Linked DNA regions of Macaca mulatta. The protein of the gene in region 2 binds, or shares a complex with, the protein of the main gene of each other region. Links are inferred from orthologs where the notes say so. Each region holds a gene or a part of one and is shown on either strand. Other genes may lie near its edges.

Region 1 (4,165 bases), on a different chromosome or scaffold from region 2:
AGACAGGAGAACTGCTTGAACCCGGGAGGCGGAGGTCGCAGCGAGCCCAGATTGCGTCACTGCACTCCAGCCTGGGGGACAGAGCGGGACTCCATCTTGGGAGAAAAAAAATCATTTCCATATATAATAGACACTGGTCAATTTCATGGTCTTACATACAATCTCCGCTAAGAGAAATAACTCAGGAAGTTTTAATTTTACACACCTGAAGATTCTTCTTTCGGTGGAAGACAATGGATTTCGCCTTCACTTTCCTGTCCTTAATGTCCACTTTGTTACCACACAACACAATGGGGATGTTTTCACACACTCGCACCAGATCTCTATGCCAGTTAGGCACGTTCTTGTAAGTAACTCTCGATGTTACGTCAAACATGATGATGGCACACTGGGCTGAAAGAAACAGTTGCGGTAATTAGTACACTGTTTACCACACAAGTGAAGAATGCTAAGAACCGCAGACTAGGATTCAACTATAGTCTTAGACCTCAACAAGGCACCTAGATCTCTCCCCTCACTTTCAAAGTCTCTTTCAATTCTAAGAACATTAACACAGAACTCTTCCTAAGAAAGATGAGCTGATTCTATCAAATCTCCCTGATAAACTTCACCATTAATACTCCCCTCATCCCCAAAACACTATCTGAAGTAATTAATGCCAAGTGAGATTCTGGAGAACCAAGCTGCCATATTCTGAGGGTAGGGCCTGGAAATAGTCTTCAGAAAGTCTTTAAATGGCCGACTATACTAGGAAATATCATTCCTGTCTTAAAAACTCCAGATAGGCCAAGCGATGTGGCTCATGCCTGTAATCCCAGCACTTTGAGAGGCTGAGGTGGGTGGATCACCTGAGCTCATGAGTTCCAGACCAGCATGGGCAACATGGTGAATCCCCATCCCTACCAAAAAAAAATACAAAAATTAGTCAGGCAAAGTGGCAGGTGCCTGTAGTCCCAGCTACTCAGGAGGCTGAGGCTTAGGAGGCGGAAGCTGCACTCCAGGTTGGGCAACAAAACAAGACCCTGTCTCAAAAAAAAAAAAATTAAATAACCCAGATAAAGTCTATATACTCACCTGCAGGAATAACTATGGTACAGTTAGTAAGGCAAGAAACCACAACTTTTTGGTTAAAGGATTTTTTGGGGGGGAAATTCTTGTGTTTATATGTACACGTTCAAGAAGAGCAAAAGGCATGGAATGATTCCAGATAATGTGTTATTAGCAACGTGAGGTTCCAGGAGAGATGAGTATTTTGTTTATTCCTCTCTTTTTGGTACAATGAACATTTTCCTTGAGATTTTTAAATCAAACTATTTGAGAAAAATACTCTGCACAACTTACTACAAACAATTTAACAAGAAATCGGCTAGTCTTGTATAACACTTGTTAAGACCTCCTATCTCCTCTGGTCTAGTATCTGGTGTTGCTTTGTAATGGACTAGAAATATTCATTGATCGCCACACCAAACTACACACAAGAACCAAAGTTTTCAAATACTGAAACTGCTGTTAACAGCCTGTTATTGTTTTAAACATGACTTATAAGTTCCAGTGTAAGTCATAGGTTTTTCTAAACCATGCCTAGCATGACACAGCATGCAACTTTCATAAAATTTTCTCCTCTGCCACCAAAATGGTGGTCAACTCCCTGAAGTCCACGTCTTTTTTTAACCCAGAAATGACACAATTCCCATTACAGTATTAAGCACTATTTGTTGGAACAGACCTGATTTTCTATAACCTTGAAAACTGAAGTACACAAAACCTCTCAAAAACTGTTCAGCAAGTTACAAATGCCTACCTTGGATATAATAGCCATCTCTCAGTCCGCCGAATTTCTCCTGGCCGGCTGTGTCCCATACATTGAATTTAATAGGTCCTCTGTTGGTGTGGAACACTAGGGGATGAACCTCAACACCCAAGGTGGCTAAAACGGAAACGACATGATTGAGTGGATGAATTTACCCATTTCTCACGTATTTCCACAAGCAAGGTTTTCCTGCACATACCTACATACTTCTTCTCAAATTCACCAGTCAAATGACGCTTCACGAAGGTCGTTTTTCCAGTACCACCATCACCAACCAATACAAGCTGTTGGAGAACACATTTGGAAGTAAACCCAAAACACTTCACCTCTCAAGATCCCAGAGTCATGGAACTTTAACCATCACAGGCTCACTTAAAACAAAGAATATGGATGCGGGGCCCCGTTACAGCCATCGTGGGTCCGGGAGGAGGGACCCGCGAGTCGCACGCGGTCGGACTCGGCCGCCTCCCGCCCCGCAGGGTTACCTACTTTGAACTGGACCTGGGGCTCTCCCTGCGCAGCCATCGCGGCGTTCCTGCGGAGGCAGAGGACGGAGGCGAGCGCTCGCGCGGCCCCGCAGCCCATGGCGGCCCCGCTCCCGCGCCCCCAGCGCCCCACGTGCCCGCCCCACAAAGGCCTCCCGCCCGCGGCGCCATGGCGGCCGGGCCTCGGAGCGGGAAGGCGGCGGGCGGGGCCGGCATCCGGGGCGGCGGGGCGCGGGGAACGGCGGACGGAGGAGTCGGGATAGGGACGGGACTGAGACCGGGACGGGAATGAGAGCGGAGGATGAAACGGGGGTTCGCGGGGGCGGGCGCCGACCCCATGCCCGTCTCCTGCCCCGGCACGGCCGGGCCCGCGCCACCCACCTACTCACAGCCGCCCGCTGTCCCTGGGCCCGCCACCTGCCCCGGCCCTGACCCCGGCTCCGGCCCCTATCCCGCCGCCGCCGCCCCTGTCCCCGCCCGGCCCTGCCCCCGCCCGGCCCGCCGCGTCTCACTACCTTCCAGAAGCGTCTCCGCGCCCGTCCGACTGAGGCTGGAAAGATGGCGGAAGCGCAATTCAAACGCCGGAGACGCAGCCGACGCCGGCGCGCGGGCAGGGGCGGGGCCGACGGGGGCGGGGTTGACAAGGGGCGGGGCAACGGCACGGCGCCCGCCCACGTGGCCCGCGCGTGCGCGCGCGCACGCACGCAACCTGGTTCAGTCGGCCGCTGCGGCCGGCGCTGCGCTTAGGGTGGGGCGGGAGGCGCGATGGACCGCGTGGGAGGGCGAGCCGGGAGCGCGCACGCATGCCGGCCCGTGGGGGCCACGTGCGCCGGCGCCCAGGGCGGGCTCGGGGGCGCGCATGCGCTGACAGGGAGGCGGCGCGCCCCTGGGCGGGAGTCGTTGGGCGCGGCCGGACTGTCGCGGCCGTGCTACCTCTTGGGTGGGAGGCGGTACTCGCTTGGGCAGACGCGGTCAGGCACGCGGCTTCCAGGCGCTGGCCAGCCAGTCCTTGTCTGTGCCCCGTGGGGTTGGGGTACTTGGGGTCCTGGGGCTTAGGATGGCGCTCGCGTGCGCGCAGGACGGGTGAGTGACAGAACGGATGAATGAATGAAGGGATCCTAGGCTGGGCCTCCAGAGTCAGCCCGCGGCTCTGTCTCTCCAGATCGCAGCCTTCACGCCCCCAGGACCAGGGCCAGTTGGAGAGCGAGGAACCAGAGAGGGATGCCCCCACCCCGGAAAATGGCTACTTATTTTTTTTTAAGAGACAGAGTCTCGGCCGGGTGCGGTGGCTCACGCCTGTAATCCCAGCACTTTGGGAGGCCGAGACGGGCGGATCACGAGGTCAGGAGATCAAGACCATCTTGGCTAACACGGTGAAACCCCGTCTCTACTAAAAAATACAAAAAACTAGCCGGGCGAGGTGGCGGGCGCCGGTAGTCCCAGCTACTCGGGAGGCTGAGGCAGGAGAATGGCGTAAACCCGGGAGGCGGAGCTTGCAGTGAGCAGAGATCCGGCCACTGCACTCCAGCCTGGGCGACAGAGCCAGACTCAGTCTCAAAAAAAAAAAAAGAGACAGAGTCTCGCTATTTTGCCCAGGCTGGTCTCGAACTCCCAGGCTCGAACGATCCTCCCGCCTCAGCCTCCCAATTAGCTGGGACTACAGGCGCGCACCACATCCGGGGTAATTTTTTTTCTTTTTTTTTTTTTTTTAATTTTTAGGGACAGGATCTTACTATGTCTCCCAGGTTGGCTTCAGGGGATCCACCCGCCTCGGCCTCCCAAAGCGCCCAGCTTCTCAAAGCGTTTCATAGGTTGGCAGCCTTGGCCGCTGCGTCCTACAAACAAAATGATAAAATTTTGTTTGCAGTCT
Region 2 (3,643 bases):
GGAGAACTACAGTCCAGCCTGGGTAAGCCCTGCTAGCACCAGAGGTGCCCAGAGAAAAACCCGAATTGAGGCGCACCTAGCCATTTGTTTAACTGCTTCCGTAAACCAGAGAAGCAGCCCAATCAGCGTAAGTGTGGGGAGTCCTTGTCCAAAGCCAAGTTCTCCAGGAGCTTTACTTAGGAACCTGACAAGGAATGCAAATGAATGAACTGGAGGTGTGGCAGCCCTGATGCCACCAGCCCCAGGCCAGACACCAAGTGCCCAAGCCAAGTCACGGCCCAGCCACCATCCCAGGAATGGGGGAGCAGTTCCTAAGGGTCACCAAGACAATCTTCTGGTGGGTGGGAAAAAAAAAATTAGAATTTCCATTCATGCTTATTTGTTTATTCTTTCAGAAATCCTTACGCATATATTATAATATACGTAATGCAGCAGCACTGCTACTTATAAATAGACATTTATATTGGAATAAATAGAAATATAGGTAATTATGGCCAGGCGCAGTGGCTCAACACCTGTAATCCCAGCACTTTGGGAGGTTGAGGCGGATGGATCACCTGAGGTCAGGAGTAAAACAAAGACCAGCCTAGCCAACACGGCGAAACCCTGGCTCTACTAAAGATACAAAAATTGGCCAGATGAGGCTGGGCGCAGTGGCTCACACCTGTAATCCCAGCACTTTGGGAGGCGGAGGCAGGCGGATCACGAGGTCAGATCAAGACCATCCTGGCTAACATGGTGAAACCCCATGTCTACTAAAAATATAAAAAATTAGCTGGGCATGGTGGCGGGCACCTGTAGTCCCAGCTACTCAGGAGGCTGAGGCAGGAGAATGGTGTGAACCTGGGAGGCAGAACTTGCAGTGAGCCGAGATCATGCCACTGCACTCCAGCCTGGGCGACAAAGCGAGACGCTGTCTCAAAAAAAACATTGGCCAGGCGGCAAGCACCTGTAATCCCAGCTATTTGGGAGGCTGAGGTATGAGAATCGCTAGAACCCAGGAGGCAGAGGTTGCAGTGAGCTGAGATCACACCACTGCACTCTAGCCTGGGTGACAAGTGAGACTCCGTCTCAAAAAAAAAAAGAAAAAAAGAAAGAAATATAGGTAACTATCATTACACTGAACCATTTTCTTTTTTTTACTCAATATCATGCAATAAAAAAAAAAATGTTTGTGGCTACTGTGCTTAAGGAGACACCCCCTACCCCATTGTGAAAGCACCTCAGGATTTCACGTTCTCAGGACCAGGGCTCTGATTGTGGCAAATGATAGAAACTCACCCCAGTGTTAGGGTCCAGAATCTTCTGTGAGGGTGTGGCTGACTTCTCTCCCTGCCCTCCCTGCTGAGGCTCCTCCTCTTCCTCCTCCTCTTCTTCTTCTTCCTCTTCCTCCTCTTCCTCCTCCTCCTCTTCTTCGGCTTCCTCTTCTTCTTCTCCTTCCTCCTCCTCCTCGTCCTCGTCGTCACTGCAGAAAGAGCTGGCTGAAGCAGATCCTCTCTACCCAGCAGCCCAGGTTGGCTGCAAGGCCTGGCTCCATGAGCCCAGAGACCTCAGCTCAGCCAGGCGGGAGAGAGCCTGGTGGGGTGGGAGCACCTGCTCCCAGGGCAGGGGTAGGTAGATCACCAGAGAAATCCACGCTGTGGACACAAAAGAATCACATCTTGTTCCTGTCCTCGAGGAGCCCCAAGTTTCATGGGGAGACAGAAAACGAAGACAGCTTTGTCACATCCAGAGCCCAGGGCTTGGCAGGAACACTGCCCAGGTTGAGATGCCAGCGCAGGGGGCGCCCATATCCACATGACCTCAGGAAGCTACAGGCGTGGGGGAGGAAGTAGAGTAGGAGTGTCCTTGCCCCACAGGAAGGCTGGTCCATTTCCGAGGGACTGTGGGACCTGTAAGGTTCAGCCCACTTCGGAGTCCCCAGTTCCCAGCCTCAGCTCAGGGCCTAGCACCGAGGAGACACGACTGAGTATCTGACGCATGAATGAGGCTGACTTGGAGATGAAAGGAGTACAGGGAGCCAGGTGCTTGATGGCCCAACCGGACTTGGATCCAGAAGATGGCCACTCCCCGGTCACCCACCTTCGCCTCCAGGTAGACTCCCCAGGCCCCACAGTCTCTTCCTTTCTAGAGTCAGCATCTTAAGAACAATACTGAGTGCAGCCCCTTCTGGCTACCCCCACCTCCCACCCCCATCACTCCCCAGGCCCCACCACATCAGGATGAGATCTGGCCTCACCCCTTCAGAGGCCTCCCCAACTCCACCACTCTACAGGGTGGCCCCGCTTAGCCCGGACGAGATCCTCTGTTGAATGGACAACTCATTCTGTCTCCTCCGTCATGAGACAGAAACCCTGAGTGTCCCACCCTTATAGCTCTGATGCCTAGTGTATGACCTGGTACATAACAGGAGTGCAACCAACATTTCTGAATAAATACAAGTAGAAACAAATAAAGGGGCCAGGTGTGGTGGTGGGTGCCTGTAATCCCAGCTACTTGGGAGGCCGAGGCAGGAGAATCGCTTGAACCCAGGAGGTGGAAGCTGCAGTGAGCTGAGATCGCACCACTGTACTTTAGCCTGGGCAACAGAGCAAGACTCCGTCTCAAGAAAAAGAAAGAAAGGAATGGCCTGACCCCGACCTCTGGGGCCGCCCACCCTGAGTTCCCTACCTGAGGGACGCCAGCACCTTGGCCATGTTGAAGCCCTCCAGCACCTCCTGAAGCTGTTCACAGCCTTCTTCTCCCAGGGTGTTGCCTGCTCAAGGGGAGGGAAGAGCAGTCAGCCCGGGGTGCCAGGGCCAGCCCAGCAGACCTGTGCAGAGGCCTCCCCCATCTGACTACCATTCAGGTCCAGCTTCTCCAGCTCAGTTTTGTCTGCCATGGCCTCGGCAACAGCCAGGGCAGCGTCCCTCTTGATTTCACAGAATGACAAGTTCAGCTCCTGAAAATAAGAGGAAGGGTTGGAGGCAGGCAGAAACCCAGGCCAGGACACCAGGTTCTACTCTAAGCCTCAGTTTCCCCAAGTGAGAATATGGCAGGCTCTGTCCTCAGGATTGGGCAAAGTGGGCAGGAAGAATAACACCAACAACAAAAATAATGCCCTGCAACCAACGACGAGTCACGTACTGAGCGTGTTTACTCTACGACAGTGACGCACACCACCCCTGCCTCCCACTTTAGAAATGAAGAAACCACGGCTCAGAGGGGTGTGCAGGCTCACACAGCACCACAGAGCCCGAAGTGGGGGAGCTGGGATATGGATGCAGGCCTGCCTGCCTTCAGACCAGACCCCTGCGCCCCCAGCCACCCCACCACCCACAGACCCCAGAGGGAGGACGTCAGGCATCCAGGCTGGCACCTTTAGCTTGGGCAGGCCGCCACGGATGGCATCTGCAATGGCAACGGCACCCTTGGAGCGCACCAGGCAGTCCCCAAAATTGATCACCTCCACCTGCCGCAAGGTCTTCAAGGTCTGCAAGGTGGAAGTAAGGGTCCAGAGTGAGGGTGCAGGCCATACCCCAGCCCTCAGCAAGTCCCGGGGGCCCCACACGGTCACATCCCACATCAGCCACCACACACTGTCCTTCTCTGCAAGTCACTAGCTTTGCTGTCTTCTTGTAGGCCTCTGGGTCCCTGGCCAAAC
Region 3 (3,643 bases), on a different chromosome or scaffold from region 2:
CATGTTACAGTGTTCATATGAGGTAGAAAATTGACATTCAAGTGTAGATGGTGTACCAAAATACTGTCAAATCTCACGGCATTGGGCCAGGCGTGGTGGCTCACGCCTGTAATCCCAGCACTTTGGGAGGCCAAGGCAGGTGGGTCACCTGAGGTCAGGAGTTCAAGACCAGCCTGGACAACATGGTAAAACCCCATCTCTACTAAAAATACAAAACTTAGCCAGGCATGGTGACACTTGGCTGTAATCCCAGCTACTTGGGAGGCTGAGGCAGTAGAATCGCTTGAACCTGGGAGGTGGATGTTGCAGTGAGCCAAGATCACACCACTGCACTCCAGCCTGGGCGACAGCGAGACTCTGTCTCAAAAAAACAAAAACAAAAAAACCTCACAGCATTGACTGGGGCTTATCTAGGAGTTTAGTAGAACAGCTGTTTCAAGGTGAAGTAGATTCATAACATGGCTCTGGATAATTATCCTTAAGCTGCTAGATAGTAGCAACTCTTTTGTGAGCTGAAATTTTATTATATTCCCTATATAACAATTTCCTTATATTTCTCCACTTACTGTCCACTAAATGACAGCTTACCAAATGAGCAGATATCACTCAGTTTATAGTAAAGATTATATTTAAACAACAAAGATATGTAGCAAAGATATGTATGCATTTTTTTAGGCAACTTAGTGTATAGGGAGGCTAGTGTCTTTGGAATTCACTGTAGCATTTCAATGTATAGGAATGTCTTGACATTGTGGAAACTCTGTAACCTGAAATTCTAACTATATTATTCATTAATGAAGGAAACATTTAATCTTTTCTTTACCATCCTCACAGATAGACTTGTTGAAACAAAGGGACCTCTATGTTCATTGAGAAGTGAAAAGAGGTACGTATATTCAGTTCATTCTTTTAATATATATTTTCTTATTTTCTAAGCCATATTTATGAGTAAGCAGTTCTGAGGAACTGTGAACTCTCTTGAGTTCTGGTAGTTGGTCAGCATATTTAGGTAGATAGGTAGCTAGCTCTTGTGTCAGATGCCCACCCTAGCCTGGTGGGTTGGGGGGTGCCCTTTATCTCTCAGGCATCAGTGGTTGGGAGAAACACATGCTTCTTAGATGGGAGTTTGGTTGGTGTGGGGATGTCTAGTGATCAGTGTTTTTAGGATAGGAACAGTAAAGGCAGCTCTGCATGCTTTAGGATTTTGGGATGATGGTTTACAGCAGAGTTTGTAAACTATGGCCCATGGGCCAAATCTGGTCTACTTACCTATTTTTGTATAGTAAATTTCTACTGGAACATGCGAATTCATTTACACACTATCTATGGCTGCTTTTAAATTACAGTGGCAGAGTTGCCACGATGTGCCCAAGACCATAAAACCTGCAAAGCCTAAAATACCGTCTGTTCCTTTTCAGAAAAGTTTGTCGACTCTTGGTTTAGAGTATTGTATAAACTCAAGGCAATTTTTATTTACAAATTATGAAATCTTATTTCTAAAACTAGGATGTAAGTCATCTAGCAGAAGTCTGTCATCTCTCAATTTGTTTCCTTAGGTGTTCAAAGGGGAAAATTTCTGATACGGAGAAGATGATCGGAATTAGATTTGAAAATGAAAGTGTAAGTGAAAATCCCCGTTACATTTGATATCTGTGTTCTTACATAACTTATGTTTTGGTGCCCATGAAAAGCAAGAAAAAGTATATATATATGTGTGTTACTTTGATTGTTAATTCTGTTGTTTTTCTTTAAAAAAGCAGCAAGCCAGCCAGGCACAGTGGCTCATACCTGTAATACCAGAACTTTGGGAGGCCAAGGCAGAAGGATCACTTGAGCCCAGGAGTTTGAGACCAGCCTGGGCAACATAGTGAGACTGTCTCCACAAAAAAATTTAAAACTTAGCCAGGCATGGTGGCACATCTGTAGTCCCAGCTACTCGGGAAGCTAAGGTGGGAGGATCGCTTGAGCCCAAGAGGTCAAGGCTGCAGTGGGCTGTGATCACACCACTGCACTCCAGCCTGGGTGACACAGTGAGACTCTGTCTCCAAAAAAAAAAAAAAAAAAAAAAGGCAACAAAGCAACAGGAAACATTGAAAATACACAACTTTTTTCTGCCTTCTGAGTTGTTGGAGTTTTGCCTCTACAGTAGCCACCTTTGTTTATGAGAGACCAACCTGCCTCCATACCAACACATTACCTACATTTTATGGCTTCTTAGGGAGAATTTCTTAAAAGTCATACATCTCTGGAAAGAGATGATATGTTCTGGGGTGCTGGCAGAATTCTATTTGTTTACCACAATTGTGGTTATATAGTTGTTCATTTTACAAAAATGAAGTAAGTGGTATGTTAATGTTTTGTGCATTTTCTGTCATATAAAATGACTTTTTACAAGGATGAACTAGAACCAAGTTTAGTTACGGTAAAGATAGTAGGGATTTATTCTGAGTGATGGGATTGTGGGTCATATTTTTTGCTGTTTAAAACTTTCATAATATCTTTTAAACATACTGTTTTTAATTGTGATAGGAGAACTGAAAATACTTTTCTTGCTACTTCCAGGGAAGGTGGTGAGTGTTCTGTTTCATGGTTTGTAACTGAGGGTCCTGTGAGGCCTAGGTCTGGAGCTTTTTTTGTTCCCCCTTGCAGGGACAGACAGATATGGTAAATCTACTCACTTGGGGGATTTGCTAATTCTCTTTTCTTTCACATTAGTGGCAGTTTTATATTTCATGTGTAATCCGTGTTTATATTTGCAAGTATCAAACATGTCAGTAGAATTTAGATACTTTTTTGATCAGAGGAGGGGATACCAACTGGAGCCCGACCTATCAGAAGAAGTGTCGGCCCGACTCCGCCTGGGCAGCGGAAGCAATGGCTTACTCAGGAGGAAAGTGTCAATTGAGACAAAGGAAAAGAATTGCTCAGGCAAAGAGAGGGACAGAAGAACGGACGATCTCCTTGAACTCACAGAGGTATTGTTCTTTGTATTGATCCTAAAAAGAGGCATGTCTTTAAATAACCTCAGTTATTCTAAACTTGAATATTTTGTTTTGAGGACTTTCTCCAGACTAGAGATGAATGTATGAAAACAAATCAGGTCCATAGTCTGTTTATTCACTTTGACTACATTGATCTTTAGTGAGTCATGATCATTAGTGGCCTAAGGGATCAGATTGATATTTAGCAAATGTGAGTCAACACAATCATCTCATATCTTGGAATACAACAGATTCTTTGTAAATTCTAACCTTCAAATATGTTGAGTTATATAGTATGGGTTTGGTATTAGGAATAAGTTCATTGCATTTTTTAAAAAAGTGGTTACAGTTTACTAAAATGCCCCTTTTGCTGATTATTGCATTTGAAAATAATAAAAACTTACAGAACATGAAGAATGAAGGTAGTTAAAATTCTTAAAGATGTGCCACATCTTGGCTTCCTCTACAATGTTGCCCTAGTAGGCAAATCTCTTGAATACTTACTGTTATATTGGGCATGCAGGTGGAGAGAGAGAGAGATCCATAAAATAGTGAAGCTGTGTGCTGGGGGAGGAAGCATATATTTAGAAGAAAATAATTTCTTCTTTTTTTTTTTTTTTTGAGATGGAGTTTCACTCTTGTTGCCCAGGTTGGAGTGCAAT

What was found.
Region 1: the proteins of RANGAP1 (region 2) and RAN are in contact, whole or in part, in a cryo-EM structure (PDB 9B62), measured with the Homo sapiens proteins. The link is inferred for Macaca mulatta from reciprocal best matches to the Homo sapiens genes RANGAP1 and RAN. Residues at the interface, in NP_001265580.1 of Homo sapiens: Ser29, Gly58, Asn59, Thr60, Asp86, Thr89, Gly90, Arg91, Leu92, Arg93, Ile96, Asp121, Ala123, Phe124, Gly125, Asp127, Asn151, Cys152, Gly153, Met154, Gly155, Arg189, Asn190, Arg191, Gln217, Asn244, Asp245, Asn246, Thr247, Asp273; in NP_006316.1 of Homo sapiens: Asp18, Gly20, Tyr39, Val40, Ala41, Thr42, Leu43, Gly44, Val45, Glu46, Glu70, Lys71, Leu75, Arg76, Tyr79, Asp91, Thr93, Ser94, Arg95, Val96, Thr97, Asn100, Lys123, Asp128, Arg129, Lys130, Lys132, Lys134.
Region 3: the proteins of RANGAP1 (region 2) and SENP2 are in contact, whole or in part, in a crystal structure (PDB 2IO3), measured with the Homo sapiens proteins. The link is inferred for Macaca mulatta from reciprocal best matches to the Homo sapiens genes RANGAP1 and SENP2. Residues at the interface, in NP_001265580.1 of Homo sapiens: Glu467, Asn508, Thr511, Thr514, Arg515, Val518, His519, Leu523, Lys524, Ser525, Glu526, Asp527, Val529; in NP_067640.2 of Homo sapiens: Tyr408, His409, Trp410, Val477, His478, Asp495, Met497, Gly498, Gln499, Lys500, Pro536, His537, Gln541, Gln542, Asn544, Gly545.

Annotation. Positions count from the first base shown.
Region 1 is NC_133416.1:138,253,210-138,257,374, reverse strand, and holds the start of RAN (GTP-binding nuclear protein Ran), read right to left. Parts: upstream 2,843-4,165; 5' UTR 2,811-2,842; intron 2,346-2,810; 5' UTR 2,336-2,345; coding exon 2,300-2,335; intron 2,095-2,299; coding exon 2,010-2,094; intron 1,928-2,009; coding exon 1,802-1,927; intron 394-1,801; coding exon 206-393; intron 1-205. UniProt on the Homo sapiens protein: GTPase involved in nucleocytoplasmic transport, participating both to the import and the export from the nucleus of proteins and RNAs. Switches between a cytoplasmic GDP- and a nuclear GTP-bound state by nucleotide exchange and GTP hydrolysis.
Region 2 is NC_133415.1:10,253,314-10,256,956, reverse strand, and holds part of RANGAP1 (ran GTPase-activating protein 1), read right to left. Parts: intron 3,473-3,643; coding exon 3,359-3,472; coding exon of another isoform or gene 3,320-3,358; intron 2,999-3,319; coding exon of another isoform or gene 2,942-2,998; coding exon 2,842-2,941; intron 2,756-2,841; coding exon 2,671-2,755; intron 1,478-2,670; coding exon of another isoform or gene 1,466-1,477; coding exon 1,282-1,465; intron 1-1,281. UniProt on the Homo sapiens protein: GTPase activator for RAN. Converts cytoplasmic GTP-bound RAN to GDP-bound RAN, which is essential for RAN-mediated nuclear import and export. Mediates dissociation of cargo from nuclear export complexes containing XPO1, RAN and RANBP2 after nuclear export.
Region 3 is NC_133407.1:97,766,852-97,770,494, forward strand, and holds part of SENP2 (sentrin-specific protease 2), read left to right. Parts: intron 1-834; coding exon 835-886; intron 887-1,556; coding exon 1,557-1,620; intron 1,621-2,801; coding exon 2,802-2,975; intron 2,976-3,643. UniProt on the Homo sapiens protein: Protease that catalyzes two essential functions in the SUMO pathway.